Linked DNA regions of Macaca mulatta. The protein of the gene in region 2 binds, or shares a complex with, the protein of the main gene of each other region. Links are inferred from orthologs where the notes say so. Each region holds a gene or a part of one and is shown on either strand. Other genes may lie near its edges.

Evidence for each region.
Region 1: the proteins of KL (region 2) and FGFR4 are in contact, whole or in part, in a cryo-EM structure (PDB 7YSW), measured with the Homo sapiens proteins. The link is inferred for Macaca mulatta from reciprocal best matches to the Homo sapiens genes KL and FGFR4. Residues at the interface, in NP_004786.2 of Homo sapiens: Ser539, Gln540, Phe541, Thr542, Asp543, Asn545, Val546, Tyr547, Leu548, Trp549, Asp550, Val551, His553, Ser554, Lys555, Arg556, Leu557, Ile558, Val563, Thr565, Arg568, Tyr571, Val573, Ala576, Gln579, Pro580, Glu625, Arg628; in NP_001341913.1 of Homo sapiens: Asp266, Gln282, Leu284, His286, Ile287, Ile289, Gly295, Ala296, Asp297, Gly298, Phe299, Pro300, Tyr301, Val302, Gln303, Val304, Leu305, Lys306, Asn311, Ser312, Glu314, Leu318, Tyr319, Leu320, Arg321, Asn322, Asp327, Thr332, Leu334, Leu341.
Region 3: the proteins of KL (region 2) and FGFR1 are in contact, whole or in part, in a cryo-EM structure (PDB 7YSH), measured with the Homo sapiens proteins. The link is inferred for Macaca mulatta from reciprocal best matches to the Homo sapiens genes KL and FGFR1. Residues at the interface, in NP_004786.2 of Homo sapiens: Ser539, Gln540, Phe541, Asp543, Leu544, Asn545, Val546, Tyr547, Leu548, Trp549, Asp550, Val551, Lys555, Arg556, Leu557, Val560, Val563, Thr565, Lys566, Arg568, Tyr571, Val573, Ala576, Glu625, Arg628; in NP_075598.2 of Homo sapiens: Asn272, Gln288, Leu290, His292, Ile293, Asn296, Gly301, Pro302, Leu305, Pro306, Tyr307, Val308, Gln309, Ile310, Leu311, Lys312, Glu322, Leu326, His327, Leu328, Arg329, Asn330, Glu334, Asp335, Thr340, Leu342, Leu349, His351.
Region 4: the proteins of KL (region 2) and FGFR3 are in contact, whole or in part, in a cryo-EM structure (PDB 7YSU), measured with the Homo sapiens proteins. The link is inferred for Macaca mulatta from reciprocal best matches to the Homo sapiens genes KL and FGFR3. Residues at the interface, in NP_004786.2 of Homo sapiens: Ser539, Gln540, Phe541, Thr542, Asp543, Asn545, Val546, Tyr547, Leu548, Trp549, Asp550, Val551, Ser554, Lys555, Arg556, Leu557, Val563, Lys566, Arg568, Tyr571, Val573, Ala576, Pro580; in NP_000133.1 of Homo sapiens: Gln286, Leu288, His290, Val291, Val293, Gly299, Thr303, Pro304, Tyr305, Val306, Thr307, Val308, Leu309, Lys310, Glu320, Leu324, Ser325, Leu326, His327, Asn328, Val329, Glu332, Asp333, Thr338, Leu340, Phe347, His349.
Region 5: the proteins of KL (region 2) and FGF23 are in contact, whole or in part, in a cryo-EM structure (PDB 7YSH), measured with the Homo sapiens proteins. The link is inferred for Macaca mulatta from reciprocal best matches to the Homo sapiens genes KL and FGF23. Residues at the interface, in NP_004786.2 of Homo sapiens: Phe377, Lys385, Leu389, Glu390, Pro392, Trp417, Phe418, Ser420, Lys429, Tyr432, Tyr433, Lys436, Phe437, Arg468, Ser471, Ile472, Arg556, Arg693, Asn694, Met695, Thr696, Tyr697, Ile735, Val752, Phe755, Asp756, Asn782, Asn783, Leu785, Ile812; in NP_065689.1 of Homo sapiens: Leu39, Met74, Ala80, Val88, Arg91, Leu166, Ile167, Phe169, Asn170, Ile173, Arg175, His177, Asp184, Ser185, Glu186, Arg187, Asp188, Pro189, Leu190, Asn191, Val192, Leu193, Lys194, Pro195, Arg196, Ala197, Arg198, Met199, Thr200, Pro201.

Annotation. Positions count from the first base shown.
Region 1 is NC_133411.1:186,058,380-186,061,887, forward strand, and holds part of FGFR4 (fibroblast growth factor receptor 4), read left to right. Parts: coding exon 1-47; intron 48-1,682; coding exon 1,683-1,793; intron 1,794-1,885; coding exon 1,886-2,076; intron 2,077-2,426; coding exon 2,427-2,549; intron 2,550-2,656; coding exon 2,657-2,727; intron 2,728-2,973; coding exon 2,974-3,111; intron 3,112-3,508. UniProt on the Homo sapiens protein: Tyrosine-protein kinase that acts as a cell-surface receptor for fibroblast growth factors and plays a role in the regulation of cell proliferation, differentiation and migration, and in regulation of lipid metabolism, bile acid biosynthesis, glucose uptake, vitamin D metabolism and phosphate homeostasis.
Region 2 is NC_133422.1:12,830,304-12,833,811, forward strand, and holds part of KL (klotho), read left to right. Parts: intron 1-1,206; coding exon 1,207-1,717; intron 1,718-2,480; coding exon 2,481-2,749; intron 2,750-3,508. UniProt on the Homo sapiens protein: May have weak glycosidase activity towards glucuronylated steroids. However, it lacks essential active site Glu residues at positions 239 and 872, suggesting it may be inactive as a glycosidase in vivo.
Region 3 is NC_133413.1:40,411,229-40,415,406, reverse strand, and holds the start of FGFR1 (fibroblast growth factor receptor 1 precursor), read left to right. Parts: upstream 1-1,377; 5' UTR 1,378-1,997; exon of another isoform or gene 1,998-2,794; intron 2,795-3,279; exon of another isoform or gene 3,280-3,405; intron 3,406-4,178. UniProt on the Homo sapiens protein: Tyrosine-protein kinase that acts as a cell-surface receptor for fibroblast growth factors and plays an essential role in the regulation of embryonic development, cell proliferation, differentiation and migration.
Region 4 is NC_133410.1:1,910,156-1,914,207, reverse strand, and holds the start of FGFR3 (fibroblast growth factor receptor 3), read right to left. Parts: upstream 2,802-4,052; 5' UTR 2,581-2,801; intron 2,211-2,580; 5' UTR 2,109-2,210; coding exon 2,000-2,108; intron 1-1,999.
Region 5 is NC_133416.1:5,266,271-5,270,500, reverse strand, and holds the start of FGF23 (fibroblast growth factor 23 precursor), read left to right. Parts: upstream 1-1,423; 5' UTR 1,424-1,491; coding exon 1,492-1,702; intron 1,703-4,230. UniProt on the Homo sapiens protein: Regulator of phosphate homeostasis. Inhibits renal tubular phosphate transport by reducing SLC34A1 levels. Up-regulates EGR1 expression in the presence of KL. Acts directly on the parathyroid to decrease PTH secretion. Regulator of vitamin-D metabolism.

The DNA.
Region 1 (3,508 bases), on a different chromosome or scaffold from region 2:
TGCCCGACCTGACCAAGCCAGTACTGTGGCTGTCAAGATGCTCAAAGGTGAGTGTGACCCAGCGTGGTGGCTCACACCTGTAATGCCAGCACTTTGGGAGACCGAGGTGGGAGGATCACTTGAATCCAGGAGTTCGAGGCCAACCTGGGCAACATGGCGAGACTTCATCTCTAAAAAAAAAAATAAGAAAATTAGTTGGGTGTGGTGGTGTGTGCCTTTAGTCCCAGTTACTAGGAAGGCTGAGGCAGGAGGATCCCTTGAACCCAGGAGTTGGAGGTTGCAGTGAGCCATGATCACGCCACTGTATTCCAACTTGGGCAACAGAGTGAAACCCTATCTGAAAAAAAAAAAAGAAATAAAAGTAAAAGGTGAATGTGGCAGCCTGGAGGAGGTGCTATGGCATTGGGACTAATAGAAGGGGATCACAGTGCTACCGGGTGAGCCCTGGAGCTGGGAGAGGCTGTGGGATCCCACCTTTAAACCTGCAGTTCAGCTCTGCTCCTGACCCTGGCAAGTGACTTCTGAGCCTCAGTTTTCCCTCGTGTCATATGGGGTAAATAACAGTCCCTACTCCCAGCCCAGGGACTGTGGAAAGTGCCTGGCTCATAGTCAGCCCTCAACAAATCGTCACCATTGGGGTGACGATGATGAGAAGGATTTGGTGTGACAGGCTTGATATCCTCTGTCAGCGTCAGTCTGTGTCAGCCTTGACTTCACCTCTTCTCAGCCTCACAGGCCCTCCCCCGCCTTCCCTGTGGTTCCCCCCAGACACACCCTCAGCCTCCCTGGGACCCTCCCTAGGTCCATCCCGCGTCCACTGCTCTAGGAGGACAGCCCTTCTGCTTGCACCCAGTCCCAGCCCCGAGGGTGCTCTTGCCAGGCACTCCCGTACCCCGCCCATCAGGTCCTCTCGTTGCAGTTCCCCAGCGCCCCCTGCAAGAATGGCCTCAACTGCTCTTCTGCTCCTCCCCTCCTCTCTACACAGCTGGGGCCACCTGGTGCTCCCTGGGAGGCAGGGATTGAGAAATGTGCATTGTGACATTGCCGTGTGTGGGTGGGGAGTGTTACATCACTGGCCCAGGGCCACAGGTCAGCCCCAGGGGCCCAGCCAGAGAAGCCAGAGCAGCCTTCTTCCCAAGCTCCCTGGCTGCGCCCTGCCTGCCGCCGGCTCCCTGAATTCCCAGGCCAGTTGGACGCCAGGCCCTGGTCAAACAGACCCCAGGGTGCCAGCCTGCTTTCCGCTCCCAGAAGCTCTGACCCCATGTAGGGACTACCGCTAACCCCTCCAGAGGCAGCTTCCTTCCTGCTCCGAGCTCTTCCCCTCTCTCCTGTTTCCTGGACCTGCCCACTGGAAGGCCTGCCTCTCAGATCCTTGATATAGTTGCATCCTTGCAACTGCTGTGACAGGTAGGGTGTGACCCACTGCTCTGTTTCCCACAAGACGACCCTGAGGTTCAGAGACACTAGGAGACTTTTTCAAGGCCACACAGACTAGCAAGGATTCAGCCCTAGACCTACGTAGCCCTGGTCCAGTGCTCCTCGCCCTGCCCCTGCCTCTACCTCGCCCTGCCCCTGCCTCTGCCTCGCCCTGCCCCTGCCTCTGCCTCGCCCTGCCCCTGCCTCTGCCTGTTCCCTCATGTAGTTGGAGAGCAGCCTCTTCACCCCATCTGCTGCCCTTACAGACAACGCCTCTGACAAGGACCTGGCTGACCTGGTCTCGGAGATGGAGGTGATGAAGCTGATTGGCCGACACAAGAACATCATCAACCTGCTGGGTGTCTGCACCCAGGAAGGTGGGGCCAAGGCGGGGCCGGCTGCATGGGCCGTTAGGGTACAGAGCCAAAGCTGTGGCAGTCTCTCCGAGCTCCCTCCACTCCCTCTGTAGGGCCCCTGTATGTAATCGTGGAGTGCGCTGCCAAGGGAAACCTTCGGGAGTTCCTGCGGGCCCGGCGCCCCCCGGGCCCTGACCTCAGCCCGGACGGTCCTCAGAGCAGTGAGGGGCCACTCTCCTTCCCAGTCCTGGTCTCCTGCGCCTACCAGGTGGCCCGAGGCATGCAGTATCTGGAGTCCCGGAAGGTACAGGCGGTAGGGCTCTGGGCCCCTCTCGATCTCTCCAGCTCCACTCTCTCAGGCCTGTGGCATTAAATGTCCCCAACTTCTTCCTTTCTGCTCTTTTTCATGACCCCACCTCAGTGTCCCCAGGCATTCATGCTTTCCTGCCTTCCCCACTTGTTCCTCACACTTCCCTAGAAGGGAGAGGGGAGAGGGGAGAGGGGACACAGGAGAGGGCGTTCCCCATTTCTAAACCTTGACCACCTCCTCTGTAAAGTGGGTGGAGGGCCCCTGCCCCTGGGCCTGCTGGGGGGTGGTGTGTGCTCAGCTCAAGGTCAGGTGTCCTGATGCACCCAAGCCCCCACTCCCTGCAGTGTATCCACCGGGACCTGGCTGCCCGCAATGTGCTGGTGACGGAGGACAATGTGATGAAGATAGCTGACTTTGGGCTGGCCCGTGGCATCCACCACATTGACTACTATAAGAAAACCAGCAACGTGAGGGAGATGGGGCAGAACTGGATGGGAGTGGAGGGGGGCTGGGCCTGGGGTGGCAGGCATGGGAACTCGTGGGACTCTGCACTGAGGCCCTCCCTCCCCTCCAGGGCCGCCTGCCTGTCAAGTGGATGGCGCCCGAGGCCTTGTTTGACCGAGTGTACACACACCAGAGTGACGTGTGAGTCCTGCCAGCGGTCACTGTCCTACCCCACAAAAAGGGCAAGGCACTGCCCAAAGTCACATGGCCCCAGGAGGCCTGCGCTCCAGGGCTCCTTCAGATTTGTTCTGGGATCCGAGTGGGACCACACTCCAGGAGGAGCCCACTCCCCACCAGCTGGGGTGGGTCATGCCTGTGGGGTCCCGCGTCCTAGCCCTGGTCTTAGGGAGGGCGCTGGGCCACACTGAGCCCTGGCCCTGCCTCCAGGTGGTCTTTTGGGGTCCTGCTGTGGGAGATCTTCACCCTCGGGGGCTCCCCGTATCCTGGCATCCCGGTGGAGGAGCTGTTCTCACTGCTGCGGGAGGGACATCGGATGGACCGACCCCCACACTGCCCCCCAGAGCTGTGAGGCCTCATCCTGCCCTCGACCCCCACTTTCCAGTCCTCCTCCTCTGCCCTGACCTTGGCCTCAGGGTTTGTGCCGGCCAGAAGGACAACACTAACAACAACTCCTCCTCCTCTTCCTCTTCCTCCTCCTCCTCCTCTCCTCCTCCTCTCCTCCTCATCCTCTCCTCCTCCTCCTCTCCTCCTCATCTTCCTCTCCTCCTCTCCTCCTCCTCCTCTCCTCCTCCTCCTCTCCTCCTCATCCCCTCCTCCTCCTCCTCTCCTCCTCATCTTCCTCTCCTCCTCTCCTCCTCCTCTCATCTTCCTCCTCCTCTTCCTCTCCCTCTTCCTCTCTTCCTCGTCTCCTCCTCCTCCTCTCCTCCTCCTCCTCTCCTCCTCCTCTCCTCTCCTCTTCCTC
Region 2 (3,508 bases):
TTAGCCATAAACTATCTTATTCCATTGAAATGTTAGGCTGAACCCCTAAGAATGTTGATGAGGCCATTCTTGGGTGCCTGTACTGAATTGAACCAAGAGAGGAATATTTAGGATATGTTGAAGAGGCTATTTGGCTCAATGAACAAAGGAGTTTCTGCAGGCCCAGGAAGTGGAATGAAAATTGGCATGATCATTCTGGAGAATATATGGAGTCAAGCAGAGAATGAGAATGGAGTTTTCAAAGAGGATATGTTAGGGGAATAAAGGCTGATAAACAACACTTGTCTTTGTAGGAAAATAGGGAGAGTAAATCAAGGAATTCAAAGGGAAAGAGAAACTCACTTCAAGTAGGGGAGAAAAAACTCCTATAATTTTCACTCTTCTTTGTAGATAAAAAGGAAACAAATGAAAATAAGATATTAGAAGTCAGTAAGAATTTATGGGAGTATAAAGTTGGTTTTATGGATGCAAAGCCCTTTTCATTGCTGTACGAAACTCCTGGCTGCATGCAAACAATGGACATCTGATCTCCTTGCAGCTGTATTTTGCTGTTTTTTGCTCTTGGCTTGTACCTTGCACCCTGGGTCTGTGGGAAACCAGAACTGTCCCAGAGTTCTGGAGGGTAGGCCAAGGTTAGATACTGGAGTGGGTTCTTTAATTTATTGTACTGATTCTTCTTAGGGAAGAATGAAGATTGCTTGTTAGAATTTTAGCTATGAGAGATGACTCTGAAACAGTAAATTAACTCCAATGACCTGAGTCATTTTGAAAACTCCCAGTTTCAGGATAAAAAATATAATCCTATTTAGAAATTCCTGGTGTGATCACAGATGTAGCATTGGTTCTTTTCACAAAACCCGTAAATTAAAAAGTACATAATCCAAAGTCAATTAAATAGTAAGATATTATAACAAATTCTTTTATTTCATTAGCTTTTCAAAATGTGGATAACACACACTCAACCCAAGGAATTTACATTTTTCCACTGACTGCTAAAAATCAATGGAAATAACTCTAGTCCTGGTAGCACCTCACTGTGGGGTGACCTACCTTTGAAATAATTTATTGGTTCCAGCTGATTTTTACATTGTTAGTCATTAAGTTAGGCTTGATGAGAAACATATAATTTGAGTTGGGGATTCAAGTATTATATTGCATTTCTCTTCACAACTAGAGATAAATTCGTCATGGTTTTTCTTTTCATAGGCTCATGCCAAAGTCTGGCATCTCTACAATACTTCTTTCCGTCCCACTCAGGGAGGCCAGGTGTCCATCGCCCTAAGCTCTCACTGGATCAATCCTCGAAGAATGACCGACCATAGCATCAAAGAATGTCAAAAATCTCTGGACTTTGTACTAGGCTGGTTTGCCAAACCCATATTTATTGATGGTGACTATCCCGAGAGCATGAAGAATAACCTTTCGTCTCTTCTGCCTGATTTTACTGAATCTGAGAAAAAGTTCATCAAAGGAACTGCTGACTTTTTTGCTCTTTCCTTTGGTCCAACCTTGAGTTTTCAACTTTTGGACCCTCACATGAAATTCCGCCAATTAGAATCTCCCAGCCTGAGACAACTGCTTTCCTGGATTGACCTTGAATATAACCATCCTCAAATATTTATTGTGGAAAATGGCTGGTTTGTCTCAGGGACCACTAAGAGAGATGATGCCAAATATATGTATTACCTCAAAAAGTTCATCATGGAAACCTTAAAAGGTATGATTTTGGGTAAAGTTCTCATTTCCTGCCAAAGTCTTCTAGAAAAAAATCTCCAAGATTATCTAACATGAACTATGTGAATTTATATTTTTAAATCCTAATGGAGACATTCAATTTGGCAATAGTAGGAATGCATTCGTGTAACACCTTTCTCATTTGGGGTCTTGAGGAACTTGAAGTAATTTTTAAAAACCCATTTGTAAATGAGAAACTGGGTTATAATATTTGTAATTACTTAACTTTCAGAGTTACTAATCTAGATTTTTAGATTAAATTGAACATAAATCCCAGGATATCTAGCTCTCTGCACATGTTTTTCAGTTCTTGTTATTTTGGTTGAGTAAAACACTTTAAAGGAAAAGGAATGTCCATGTTTCCTAGAGAAAACAGTATAAATAGATCATGCTTTTAAAGCCTTCATTTATTTATTTATTGCATCAGACACAATGCTGGGTGTCTAGGATGGAAAGTGGTACAAGACATCTTTCCAGCCCTGTAGAACATCTATTATAAATAAGGAATTATTCTGTCGAGGTGCTCAGAAATCCAAAAAAACATATTGATAGGCCTATTTTGAGGGCATTTATTTGTAGAGTTATATAGGTTTGATTAGAGTGTTTGTCAAGAAGAGAAATCATTGGCTTACCAAACAAGAAGCATTACACTTTATTTAAGTAGGAGAACGCTCAGATGCTCTTGAATCATGATGCAAGTGCCCAGCGAAGGGTCGTGTTGCTCTTGTCCCCTCTTCCCTTTGCAGCCATCAAGCTGGATGGGGTAGATGTCATCGGGTACACCGCGTGGTCCCTCATGGACGGTTTCGAGTGGCACAGAGGTTACAGCATCAGGCGTGGACTCTTCTATGTCGACTTTCTAAGCCAGGAAAAGACGTTGTTGCCAAAGTCTTCAGCCTTGTTCTACCAAAAGCTGATAGAGAAAAATGGCTTCCCTCCTTTACCTGAAAATCAGCCCCTAGAAGGGACATTTCCCTGTGACTTTGCTTGGGGAATTGTTGACAACTACATTCAAGTAAGTCAGCTGGCAAAACCTATCAGCAGTCTCACCAAGCCCTATCACTAGTAAGTAGTGCTTCCTTCCTAGGCTGATTGTCACGGCACATTGTCCGTTCTTAGAGCCAAAACCAATTCCTTATGAGCACACTAAGGATACAGTTTGGAATGTTGCACCCTGCTCTCCAGAAATCTTCCTATCTTCATCTTGTTTAAGTTAGATGCAAAGAGAAATAAATTTAAAACATATCAATATTTAAGATCCGATTAAGACAGTGAAAAGATAAAACACTCTCTTTTCACATTGTGGTTTTTGATCCTTTTTAAGGCAGTTGAGTTTTTTCACGAACAGGATCTAACACAAAACTCCAAAGCCTCCGAGTTTCAGTGGTGGGGCTGAGACAGAGGCAGGAACATGAGGCGGACTCCTCCAGAGGCACAACTGTGGGCTCCACAAATGTGCAGAGATACCCTAAGAAAGTAAACCCTAGATCCAGTGATTCACTGGTCAGAATGTCTTTTTTAGCAATAGTCTTTGAAATGATATGAAATTTCTTCAAAATGATCAACCAATATTTATTGAGCATCTTCTCAGTAGTAAGCCCTTAACATTCTTTTAAATTTCCCAAATTTTGAAGGGACTTGTTTTCCAGCATTTGATTGGATACTCTAGTAAGCACTTATTGGATGTCTAGTGTCTCCAAAGCCTTGTGTTAGTTGCTCGGGTCGCTTGGTTAAGCGGAATGCAGGTAGAGGGTACACTGAGATGCGTAAGGGC
Region 3 (4,178 bases), on a different chromosome or scaffold from region 2:
GCTTCCCAAAGTGCTGCAATTACAGGTGTGAGCCACCGCCCCCCTCCCCCAACTCTTTTCTTAAATTAGCCAGGGAGGCGTGGGTGGGGTGGGTGAGGAGTTGGGTGGGGGTAACTCATTCAGTATTCAAACTTCTACAAGTTTTGGGGATGAGGTGAACAGGCCCTGCCACTAACTTACATAGTGACTTCTATTTGTGTAGTATTTTTGGTCCACGGAGAGCTATCATTTTATTTGATTCTTACGATCATCTTGTGAAGGAGTATCAACAGATACTGCTGTTTTGATTTTATCAGATACAAGATTTGTCGTACATCAAACTTCACAAATGATGGACAGAATGGAGGAATCCTTCAGACCTAGTGCTGCCTACTTCCCACCCCAACGGTGGCCTCAGCCTGGGCTTTCACATCACAGGCCCCACGGAGACTTGGAAAAAATACAGGCTTTTGGCTCCTTCTTGGGACAGCCTGATTCCTCATGTCTGAGCAGGCCCATGAATTTGTATTTTTCAGACGTTCCCTGGAGGACCCGTGTCCATCTGGATTAGGAAACCACTACATTATACCACCCCGCGGCAAGACTCAGGGGGAAGAATTTAGCCACTTTCCTGAGTTCCACAGTACTGGAGGGTGTTCTGAGTGGGCTGTGATTAATTTCCAAACCAACCACACCTCTCCCCTCAACTCCCACTTACTCTTTGCTTCCTAGACGTTCACTTCAGGCTGGAGACTTCTGAAGACCAACAACATTGCTGTAGAATTTACAGGGTCCAGTTCCCGGTGGAGCACAAAACCTAAATTATGTGGCTGGGGAAAGCGGAGATCCAATGGAAGGGTGTGAGGAGGGGCTGACCTTCTCATAATAAAACCAGCTTGTATTTACTAGGTGTTAACTATGCGCCAGGCCCTCGTTGACCTCTCGACTCTATACGAAAAAGCACTATTATCCCCCTTTCACAGATGGGAAAACCGAGATTTAGAACGCGAAAATCATTCCCCAAGGTGCACAGACTCCAAAGTCCACGCTACCAGGTACAATCTCAAGGCTGCGGCGTCTCTTCACCTGTCCCCCACACCCCCCCAAACTGCAGCTATGTCTAGGGCCTGACATTCCGGCGCCCTCTGGGACGCGCTCAGATGCAGGGGCGCAAGCGCCAAAGGAGACCAGGCTGCAGGAAGAGAAGGGCAGAGCGCCGGACAGCTCGGCCCGCTCGGCCGGCTCCCCCTCCTCTGGGGCCGCGGCTGGAGAACTACAAGGCCCAGCAGGCAGCGGCAGGGGGCGGAGGCGGAGGAGGGACCAGCGCCGGTGGGAGTGAGAGGGCGAGCCCTCGCGCCTCGCCGGCGCACAGCGCTCGGAGCGCTCCTTCGGCCACAGGCGCGGCGTCCTCGGCGGCGGGCGGCAGTGAGCGGGAGCCGGGACGCTGGTGCAGCCGTAGCGCGCGGAGGAACCCGGGCTGTGCCGGCAGCAGGGCCACGTCCGGACGGGACCGAGACTCCGCGTAGCGCATTGCGGCGACCTCGCCTTCCCCGGCCGCGAGCGCGCAGCTGCTCGAAAAGCCGCGGAACCCGAGGACTTTCTCCCGTCCGAGCTCGGGGCGCCCCACAGGGCGCACGGTACCCGTGCTGCAGTCGGGCACGCCGCGGCGCCGGGGCCTCCGCGGAACGATGGAGCCCGGTCTGCAAGGAGCGTGAGACGCCGCCGCCGCGGTCTGGAAAAGAGGGGCACAAGGTCTGGAGACCCCGGGCGGCGGACGGGAGCCCTCCCCCCGCCCCGCCTCCGGGGCATCAGCTCCGGCTCCATTGTTCCCGCCCGGGCTGGAGGCGCCGAGCACCGAGCGCCGCCGGGAGTCGAGCGCCGGCCGCGGAGCTCTCGCGACCCCGCCAGGACCCGAAAAGAGCCCGGGGGCGGCGGGCCGGAGCCGGGGACGCGGGCACACGCCCGCTCGCGCAAGCCACGGCGGACTTTCCCGAGGCGGAACCTCCACGCCGAGCGAGGTAAGAGTCGCGGCGCCCCCGGATCCGGGGCTGGCTTGGCGTCCCGAGCGGCCCCCGGCGCCGGAGCCTCCCGGCTGCGCGCTTTGCCCGCCGCAGCCCAGCCGGGACCGGCGCCTCCCTCCGCTCGCCGCCCGCCCCCTCCACCTCCCGGCTCCCTCCCGGGCGATCCGCGCCCCCCTTGGGTCTCTCCTCCCTTCCCTCCGCCCGCGTCTCCTTCTGCGCCCCCTCCCTACGCTCGTCCCGCCGCTCTTCCCGCTGCCCAACTTTTCCGCCAACTCGCGCTCGGGAGCTGGCGAGGCGGCGGCGGCTCCTCGGTGAGTCCTGGGAAGGACAGGCCCGGGGCGAAAGCGGCGAGGCCCGCGGTTTCCTGGACTGGGGAGGAGGGCGGGAGTGGGCGGCGAGGTGGGGTGCGTTGTGTGTGTGTTGTGTGTGTGTTGCATTCCACTCCATCTCTTTTTGGTCCCCTTTTGGGGATTCACCCCCAATTCAGCAGGTAGCTTTGGGCTCAACGCTAAAAATCCAGGACATTCCTCAGTCCTTTTCCATCCCCGCTAAACCTGGGGTCCGGGTTGTGGGCGAATGGAGTAGGGGATGAACTGCAGAGGACGTGGAGGGCTAGGTTAGCTTCTCTTGGAATAGGCTTTAAGGAGGTGTCGTCACCAAATGGCTGAATCTGCTTGAGCTGAGAGCGAAAAACGACTCCGCTTTCCAGAAGGGGTGATCTTATGACTTGGACGGTCTCTGAGAGGGTCGGAAGTTTGGGGAACGGGAGGACGACCCACAGTCGTTAAGCCGAGGTATGGGACGGGGGCGGGAGGGCCGTTCCGTCCCAATCTCGTTCCTGGAGGTGGGGGAAGGGATGAGGTTTTTGTCCGGTGCGGTTCACTCGGCAGCGATGCGTAGGCTTCTCTGGCCCAGACCCCTCTGCACCCCGCTTCCCCTCCCGTTATGTTTAGGGTTGGGAGAAAAGGGAGGCTACGACCCATGTTTGCAGAGGAATTTGTGGACCTTGTAGATGGGGTTCATATAGAACACACGCCCCCTATGAAGCAGCCAGACACTTTTTTGGTGGTGGTGGGGCGGGGGGTGTGAAGCGTGTTTCTTGTTCTGGTCCCAGAAGCTATCAACCCGTTTGAAAAACATTACCACGATGTCTTTCTCCCCCAGCCCTCCCCCACCCCCATTTTCCAGATGTAACAGCCGCATCTGGTTCCGTTTCACCCCACACGGGTACACCGCAGCCGCGTTATTAACTTCCCTCTTCCTCCCCTCCCCCTCCCCCAAATTGAAACTCGGATTCTTCAACTCGTCTTGACCACCTCCCTCCTTAACATTTCTGGAGACATGGAGATGCGGCGTTGAGAAAAGAAAGTTCCCTTGGATCCCGAGTTATCGAAGATCTCACTAAGTTAGTTGTTCGCCGCCGCTAGTGGGTGGCGGCGGTCGGGGTGCTTTCTGGATTGCGCAGAAAAGAGGCATCTTGGGAGATGGGTCCAAGGTTTTAGGGGGTGGCATTCGCGAACGGTTCATCCGCTAGACTAGGGGAGGCTCTTTGGCTGTGCGTCTGGCCAGAACTGGCCTTGACGATGGAAGTTTCTGGAACCAAAGCGTTGCTTTCTCTCCCTTGTGTTATAGCTGGAGCTGCGAGAGCGCCTGCCCTGCCCGGAGCCCGCGGTCCCCTCTCGGCCGCCCCTCGGTGGCGTCACGCGCCCCTCCCGGAGCGAGCCCGGTGCGCTGGGCCGGGGGCGTGGGCGACTGCTGCCAGAGGCGCTCCCTGTGTGTTTTTAAGGACTGATTTGGGACGCATCCCCCGGAAACTAAAGTGGGGCGTTTTACCATTTAAGTAACGGCTACAGGTTTGAAAGCGGGGGGTTGGATTGTCCAGTTGTGTTTGGTAATAGTCTTTGAGGCAGGAAAGCGCCTTGTGGTCCAAAGTTGCGGGAGGGTGGAGAGAGTCAGTCTCTCTCACCCTCTTCTTTCCAGCCTCTCTCAGATTGAAAACACTTCTCTGGTTTCCTTCTTTGGGCGGTAGTTTTGGAGGCTGTAATGAAATCGCACTTTCTCTAGACGTGGTAATTAAGGTGACTGTTTCCTCCGCAGATGTGCCCTACCCTTTGCACCTCCGGACCAGGGCTTTTTTTGGAATACTATCTAGCCTTGAGACTGTTTAGCAGAAAGTGG
Region 4 (4,052 bases), on a different chromosome or scaffold from region 2:
GGAGACCCCCAAGCCCCTGGACTCCCACCCAAGCTCAGCTGTAACAAGGGGTGCCCCATTCCCAGTTCCAGCTCCAAGTACCTGAGAGCTGGGGGGCTGGGGGGTGAGTAACGAGGGGTTCCTAGGCTCACACAAGGACCTGGAGGCCACGCTCAGCCCAGGTTAATGAACCACCCAGAGGCCCACGCGGCTCAAAGTCCAGCCCGGCAGAGGAGGGGTGGGGGAGGATTCAGTCAGCACCTTCAGGAAAGACCCTGCACCCCGAGACCCCTGCTGGGGGGTGTGGCGCTGTGGGAGAGCCGACCTTGTCTTCCTCCCTGCACCCTGGGGGGTCCCCCTAGGCTCCAACCAGGAACACAGCCCTCTGGGGAGATGGCGGCTGTCCTGGCAGGGCCTGGGGTGGCCAGGGCAGTCCAGGGGCCAAAACCTTCCCCACCGCCCTTGACCACTGCCAGCCAAGGCTCCATAATTTATGTTCCCAGGCAAGCGCCAGCCTAGACCTCAGTCCATTTCACGAGGTCTTTGTATTTTTACTGCCCGGCCCATCTTGTTAAGGAACCGGATTAAATTTATTGACCGATCAACTCACTACCTGTTTCACCAGCTCCAGTGCGGGCGGGGTCGCCGCCCCAAGGCGGGGGGCGGGGCGTTCCAGGGGCGAGAAGGGGAGGCCCCGCGCGCCCGCCGGGGATCCGGGAGACGCTCTGTAGCCTGGCCGCCGCCCCTCCCCGGGGCTGGCTGACATTCCCGGGCCGTAGGGAGTAATATCTTTATCTGAATGAGAATACGAAAGCCAGGCTCCCCCCGCGGCCGCCCCTCCCGCACCCCTGGAAGCGGGGCCGCCCGAGCAGGCGCTAAAAGCGCGCGCTGACCTCCCGACGGCCCCTGTCACGCCGCTGAATGACACGCACATTCAAGCGCCGGGCCACTTTCATTCATAAAAAAAATGACATTGTTCCGGGAGGCTGCAGCCGCCGCCGGAGAAAGGGGCGCGGGGGCGCGGGCGGGGCGGCCGCCATCTGCCTCGGCCCTCCCGGCGCCCTCCCCGGCCCGCCGCGCCCGCAGCCGCTCACACCTCCCCGCGAGCCGCCGCGCCGCCATCAATGCGCGGTCTGTGGCCGCGCCGAGGTACAAAGGAGCGGCTGTTCGGGCCTGGGCCCGGGTGGGGCGCGAACTCACCGGGCCAGGGCCTCCCTCCGCGCGGCCGCCGGGCTGGGCTGTGCGCGCCCCCTTCGCCCGCCCGGAGCCGGCAGCGTGTACGGGGCGGCGGCACCGGAGCTCTCGGCCCGACCCGCGAGGAACCGCGGCGCGCGTGCAGGGCGGGCCGGGCGCCCCTTCCCCTCACCTCCCTTCAGACACTTGACGTCCCGCAGGACCTGGACCGCCAGCCCGGTCTAGGGCCCGCGACGCTGGGACACGCGCTCCTCGCTCGCCTGGAGCTCGGCGCGCACCCACGGGGAAGCGCCCTCAGCCCCCAGGCACTGGCAGGGTCGGCAGCGGGGGCGCTGGAGGCTGCAGCCTCGTCCGGCGGGCAGGGGCCGGGCTTCGCTGACGCGCACACCCACCCTCAGAAGTCCGGCCTCTCCCCTTGGCCGAAGCTCGCCACAAACTGGGGCCCGGGGGAGGGGGACGCCAACAATGGGAACTTTCCGTCTGCGCAGAACCCGAAGAACAGCGGGAATCGTGGAAATGGGGAAACCCGCGCCCTCCCGACAGGCCAGGGCTGGGGAGCCGCAGGGGACGGGGCTGCGGACGCCAACCCCCGGCCTGGCTCCCAGTGGCGGCCTCGCATTTGGGGGGTACCTGCGGCTCCAGGCGCCCCACAAGTCGCCGCGCTACCGCTGGCCGCGCTCTCCGGGACGGAGACAGCGGAATCCGGGCGCTGACCCCGGGGCGTCACTCACACCCGGAGTTCCCTCCGACCTGGGGCCGGTTCCCGTCCCCAACGCCTCTGCCCGCACGGGCCGGCCCCTCCCGTGCCCAGTGGGTCCCTTCTTACCTGCCACTCGCCCCACGACGCGCTGCTCCGTCCCCAAGGACTCCGAGGAGGCGCCGGCCACGATGGCCACTGCCACGCAGAGCGCGAGGGCGCAGGCAGGGGCGCCCATGGCGGGGGCGGGGGCCGCGGCGTCCTCAGGCGGCGCACGCGGGCATGCTGCCCCCCACGGCCCGGCGCGGGCACCGGCGGGAGGCGGGCGCCGCTTGGGAAACTGCGGGAGGAGGAGGGCAGCTCGTTAGCGGCGCGGGTAGGGACGAAAGCGGCGGTGGCCGGCTCCTGCGCCCCGACCCCTCCGACCCCCAGCCGCCCCGCCCGCCGCCGCCGCCGCCCAGAGCTCCCGGGCCGCCTGGCGCCGGCCGCCTCCTCCCCGCCGCGGTTCCTCCCTCCTCCCCCTTCCCTCCCTGGCTGCTGCAGAGCCCTCCCAGGGCGGCGGCGGCGGCGGCAAACTTTCCGGAGCGGGAAGCCCGCGCCCCGGCCCGGCCCGCCGCAGGGACTGCTGTGGTTCCGCGACTGCCGCGCCCCGGCCCCTCCGCGCGCACCGTTGGACCCCTCCGCGCGCCTGCCCGGACCCAAGCACCGACCTGGCGGGCGCCGGAGTCCGGCTCGCTAGGCGCGGCTCCCGCTCCGGCTCGCTGTCCGCAGGCCCAGCTCCCGCCCCGTCCCTCCGGCCGGCGGCCCGCCGGTGCGTCCGTGCGACCGGCAGAGCAGGACCGCGCGGCGCCAGCTGCTCGCGACGCCGCCACCGCCGCCGCCGCCGCCACCGCGCACTGAGCCTGGGTTGCCCCGCGCGCCGCAGCCAGTGGGGGACGGTCCGCGCCCCGCCCCGGCCCCGCCCCGCTCCCGCCCGGCCCCCGCCCGACTCGCCGGGGCGCAAGGCACGCCCCCTCGGGGCGGAGCGGGGCATCCGAGGGGGCGTGGCCGGGCGGGGGCGCCCGGCGGTCTCGAGGGCGTGGGAGCCGGGGCAGGCGGGCGAGGCCCCCAATCGCACCGCGGGGCGGCCCGGTGGGCGGTGGGCACGGGGCGCACCGAGGGCGAGCGCAGGCTTCCGTTTGCACAGCGCGCAGCTCGGGTCCCCTGAGGCTGTGCTCAGGAGCTCAGAGGGGAGGTCTCGGCGGGGGTCGGGATGTCAGGAGGCGTCGCCAAGATGCCGCGGAGCTGAACCCTGTGGTGTGAGCGGGAATTCCTCAGGTGGAGGAGGGCAGGGCGGCATTCCAGGCCGAGCCTCCGGTGTGCGCCGCAGGCCTGGGGCAGCCCGGTGCGGCCTGCGTACCTGACTGGCAAGGAGCAGAGGCTGCGTTGACTAACCTGGGGCCGAGCCGCATGCACCTAAGCCGCCTGAGTGCCCAGCCCCGAGAGGTCCCTACCCCTGCCCCCCAGGAGGACACAGGCCTGGGACTGGCTGCCTGCCCGGCCTAGAATGAAGGGCAGGGGCTGGAGACCCCTGGCTTGGGGAGCGCAGCCCGGCTCTGAGGGAGAATAACGAAGAGCTGGTGGCAGAGCCTGAGCTGGCCCGAGGTTCTAGGCTCCACGGGGCGGGCTCAGAGTCCAGCTGAGGAGGGTTGGGACTGGTGAGGTGGGTTCCCAGGAGGGGAAGATACTGCCCTGCGGGGGACGCTGCGGGTGTCTGGGTCCCCTTACCCCACATGACTGTTAGCTTCTGTGTCCACCCTCACAAGGAAAAGGCCAACTGCTCCCATCTTCAGGCAAAGCCCAAGGGGGTCCGGAGCCCATGGGAGCCAGTGAGCTGGGGGGAGGGCCGGCCGAGTCTGCTGCCCGCCTGGCTTGTGGCTTCCAGGACTAAATGTAGTCATCAGGAAAATGGGCGCTAAAAGTCCCTCAGTGACTGGCTGTTTGCTGACCCTACCCAGCCCATGCACAGCTCAACCCTGCAGCTCCCAGAGGCCAGGGTGTCCCTGGACTGACCTCAGGGCCTTGGAAGGGCTCTGCTCCCAGGGAGCCCTCATGCCCACCTCTCTGTGCCCACTTGGTGGCTCAGCACTTGTCCTCGGCCACCCTTGTTTCCTGCTCTGGCCAAGTCCATGTCCCCAGACCA
Region 5 (4,230 bases), on a different chromosome or scaffold from region 2:
TGTGCCTTTGACATGGAAAAACTGAGATCTCAATTTCTCCATGTAAAGTATTAAAATCTTGATAATGCATGGTGTGCCCCTCTCACAGAGTGGCAGTGAGGTTCAAATGAGCTAATAGATGTGAAAATGCTTTGTAAACTATTAAAAAAAACTGCACAAATGTAGGGTAACAGATGCCATTTCTTTCTGTCTATACCTGTATGCTTGCACTCATTTTGTATTACGGTTACTTATTTTTATCTGCCTCCTGCAGTAGATTTGAGCTCCTCGAGATAGGAATCACATCTTGCTGTCTCCTATATCAACTTGTACGTGATGTCTAGCTTGATGCCTGTACATGGCATGTACTCAGTACATGGGAAATTGGAAGAGGAGCAGTCTCCTTGGGTATTTTTTCGGGTGTATGTTGCAGTAGCTTGCTCCCCTTTAGACTGTGCGTGCCAGGACTATTTCCCCCAACATGAGGTGTAGCTTCCCAGAGGGCGCACTGTGAACAGCATCTGCAGGCAGGCATCCAGCACCAAGCTGAGCACTCATGTACAGACACTAAATGTGGGGACACCCTGTCCTGAGGCTCGGATTCCCGGTGCTCAGCCAGCAGCCTTTCCAATCCCCATGAGGTCTCTGAACGGGTCTCCTTACTCCTGGAGAGACTATTCATTTAGTTGTCCTCGATAGTCCAAACTAGGGAAACTGAGAAATTGAAACTTGGCATGTTCAGCGAAGTCCAAACTAAGGACGCTGAGAAATCGAACCTTGGCATGTTCAGGGACCTCAAGACCTTGCTTCTTTTTCTTCCATTTCAAAATCTTCCCAAAATGGCAACTTTGGTTTTTGTGCCCCTGCTCCCAGCTCCCATCTTTCACGAATTGGGGGTTCTCAGAGGATGCCATCTGCCTGACGGTGTCATGTATCTCTATATCCTACAAGCTAGCCACCGAATCCTGCTCATAGATTAAGCACTGGATACATACTTGCTGATTGGAATTTAAAGAAAACCAAAATAAGTAAACTCGACGGGAGATTAATTGCCTGGGAGTCGGTTGACTGCTTGACTGAAGCTGGATTTTTTTTGGGAACCGCTGGCTGCCTTCGCATTTCCTGATGGACGTGGGACAGGTCAACAGACAGCCCAGAGCGGCAGATAACTTTTGCCCACGCGTCATTCATTTTTTTGGAGCGTTGGCTTGAAATTGAGGGGGGTGTGTGTGTCTGGAACCGACGTGCCTTCCGTGCGCCTCCGGGGTCTCTGCACTCTCTTTCAATGGGCTGATTACAACACAGAGGATGTGGACAGCGGAGTTTTTCCTGTTTGATGTCACACTGCTACCCTTTAAAAGTCTGATGGCAAAAAGGAGGGAATTCAGTCTAGGATCCTCACACCAGCTACTTGCAAGGGAGAAGGAAAAGGCCAGTGAGGCCTGGGCCAGGAGAGTCCCGACAGGAGTGTCAGGTTTCAATCTCAGCACCAGCCACTCAGAGCAGGGCGTGATGTTGGGGGCCCGCCTCAGGCTCTGGGTCTGTGCCTTGTGCAGCGTCTGCAGCATGAGCGTCATCAGAGCCTATCCCAATGCCTCCCCATTGCTCGGCTCCAGCTGGGGTGGCCTGATCCACCTGTACACAGCCACAGCCAGGAACAGCTACCACCTGCAGATCCACAAGAATGGCCACGTGGATGGCGCACCCCATCAGACCATCTACAGTGAGTAGGACTTCAAGCTGGGAAGAAGGGGTGCGCCCCTGTTGTCCATCTACAGGGGGCTTGGGGAGGTTGGGGACTAGACTGGAGGGCTAATCCAACCCTCCAAGCTTTCTGCCCAGGAACCACTTATTGTCTGTGTGTGTGTGTGTGTGTGTGTGTATTTAAATCTTAGGGGAAGATTCTGTCACTCTCCTAATTAGTATTTGCTGGTTTTTCTAACATGCATACTTTTTGTTTAAACTAAAACCCTTCCCACAGTAGGAGCCATATTCCCTTTGCCCCATCAAAAGATTCAGAAAATATACTGAAAGAAAAGCAAGGAGTCTAAGAGAAAAAGAAGCCAGGCAGATCAACAGACACTAAGTTTCAGCTCCTGGACTTCAGGCTGGGTTAACTAGGCAGGTTGGAAAGAAGATTCCCAGGTCATACCCAGATTGTAATAGATAAATCTGGGGGCTCTTTCCAATTCTGGCCTTATAAAAATTCTTGGAAAAATGTATTAAACACAGACTGTCCAGGAATGTTGTCTTGGTGAGAATGGCCAAGTATACAACCCATCCACCCATTCATTTGTCCATGCATCCATCCATCCAACCTTTAAACTTTAACAGGTTTAAAGGCTGTTTCAGATACTCAGGTACCCCGGTACCCAGTACGCATTGGTGATTCTTCTCCGTGGAACTGAAAGGTGTCCAGTCAGTAGCAAATCAAGCTAGTTAGAAACTTATTGGCAATGTGAGACAACTGGAATGTTTTTAAAGATCAGGTTTGTGGAGAATCGGATCACAATCCACAATAATCAATCCATTAGCAATGATTCAAATGAGGGCCACTTTGTGCGCACCTATATAAGGGGTAATGTGGTGGGAGCAGGGATATTGAAAAAGACTGGATCTTCTATTTTAAGAAAACATGTGAATACCTCTAAGAATATATAAAAATGCAAAGTGATCCAATATAGCTCAAATTAAGGGAAAGAAAAATTAGTTAGACAATCTCTAACTAAAGAAAACATAGGAATTATGATTTGCCTTTTATTGTTGTAATAAGTTAATTATTTTTGCTGTGACCTTGCTGTGTGTGAGGCATTTATTCTTCTAGGAACCAAAGGTCCTTAAACCTGGTTGCAAGATATATAACATGCAAAATTAAGTTGCAAGATATATGACATGCGAAATTGACAGTTTAAACCTCCTCAAGTGCTAGATGCATATTGATAGGAGATAAAAGGAGAGAGAAAAGTTCTCTCCAAATACCAAACAGGTTCCAGAACTCTAGAGGATATACTAAGACTCAGGAGTCAACATCTTGGAAACCAAGTGTGAGTCTCGTGGCAAAAATTTCAATTAAATCTGGATATACTTGATGAACCCCAAGTGTTGTTCATTTTATTCAATGGATATTTAACAGGATCTACAATGTGCCTGGCATTCTATCAAGCTCTGTGACTGAAAAGTAAGACACAACCCCTCAAGGACCTTGTGGTCTGTCGTCCTGCCTTGTCAGCTAGCTCACTACCAGACTTTAGGAAACGCGACTTTGCGCCTCTCATGGAGTGGCCACTCTTACTCTAATTCAAGACTCTATGTGATTTAAAATGCAGAATAGTAGATGATGGTAAATTGTTTTGATTCTCTTAGATGGAAAGGGCGGCATCCAACTAGAGAATGTTTACACAACTTGTCTCGAATCCTGGAATCCCATTGCTGAAAGGAACTCCTTAAAGACGTTTCCTCCTGAACAAGAATTAGGGTAGAACGGAACAGGCTGGCTACGGTGGGGAGTGAGTGTGAAGAGTCGACCTCCTGGGCTGGCATTCTGAACTGTAGACCTTTTCCTTGAAAACCCACCTCGTATCAGGCCCCAAGGGATCACTGAGTGCTAGCTGAATTAAAAGGATTGAGAGGCAGCAAAACAAATGGAACTGACTTCAGATCTTTAAAAACAGAAATACGGTTTTGTTTTCTTAGACACAGGCACTAGCTAAACATTGCATCTTTAAAGAGTTAAACACGAATATGGGGAGGGGAACTTAGGGTCAGGGGAGTGGGAGAAAGATCTGCTTTTCCTAGTCTATGTAGATAACTTTTTGTACTGTTCAATCAGTTGTCACGTGTATTATGGGGGGGAAAAAGTGCAGGAAAAAAATTACACAATACAATTAAAAGTTACCCAAAAGAGGCCAGGTGTGGTGGCTCATGCATATAATCCCAGCACCTTGGGAGGCCAAGGCAAGAGAATCACTTGAAGTCAGGGGTTAAAGACCAGCCTGGCCAACATGGGGAAACCCTGTGTCTACTAAAAATACAAAAATTAGCTGGGCGTGGTGGTGCGCGCCTGTAATCCCAGCTACTTGGGAGGCTGAGGCAGGAGAGTTGCTTGAACCCAGGAGGCGGAGGTTGCAGTGAGCTGAGATCACACCACTGTGCTCCAGCCTGGGCGACAGAGCGAGACTCCGTCTCAAAAAAAAAAAAAAAAAGTTACGTAAAAAGAAAGAGGAAAGATTAATGCACGTAGATAAGAATCAC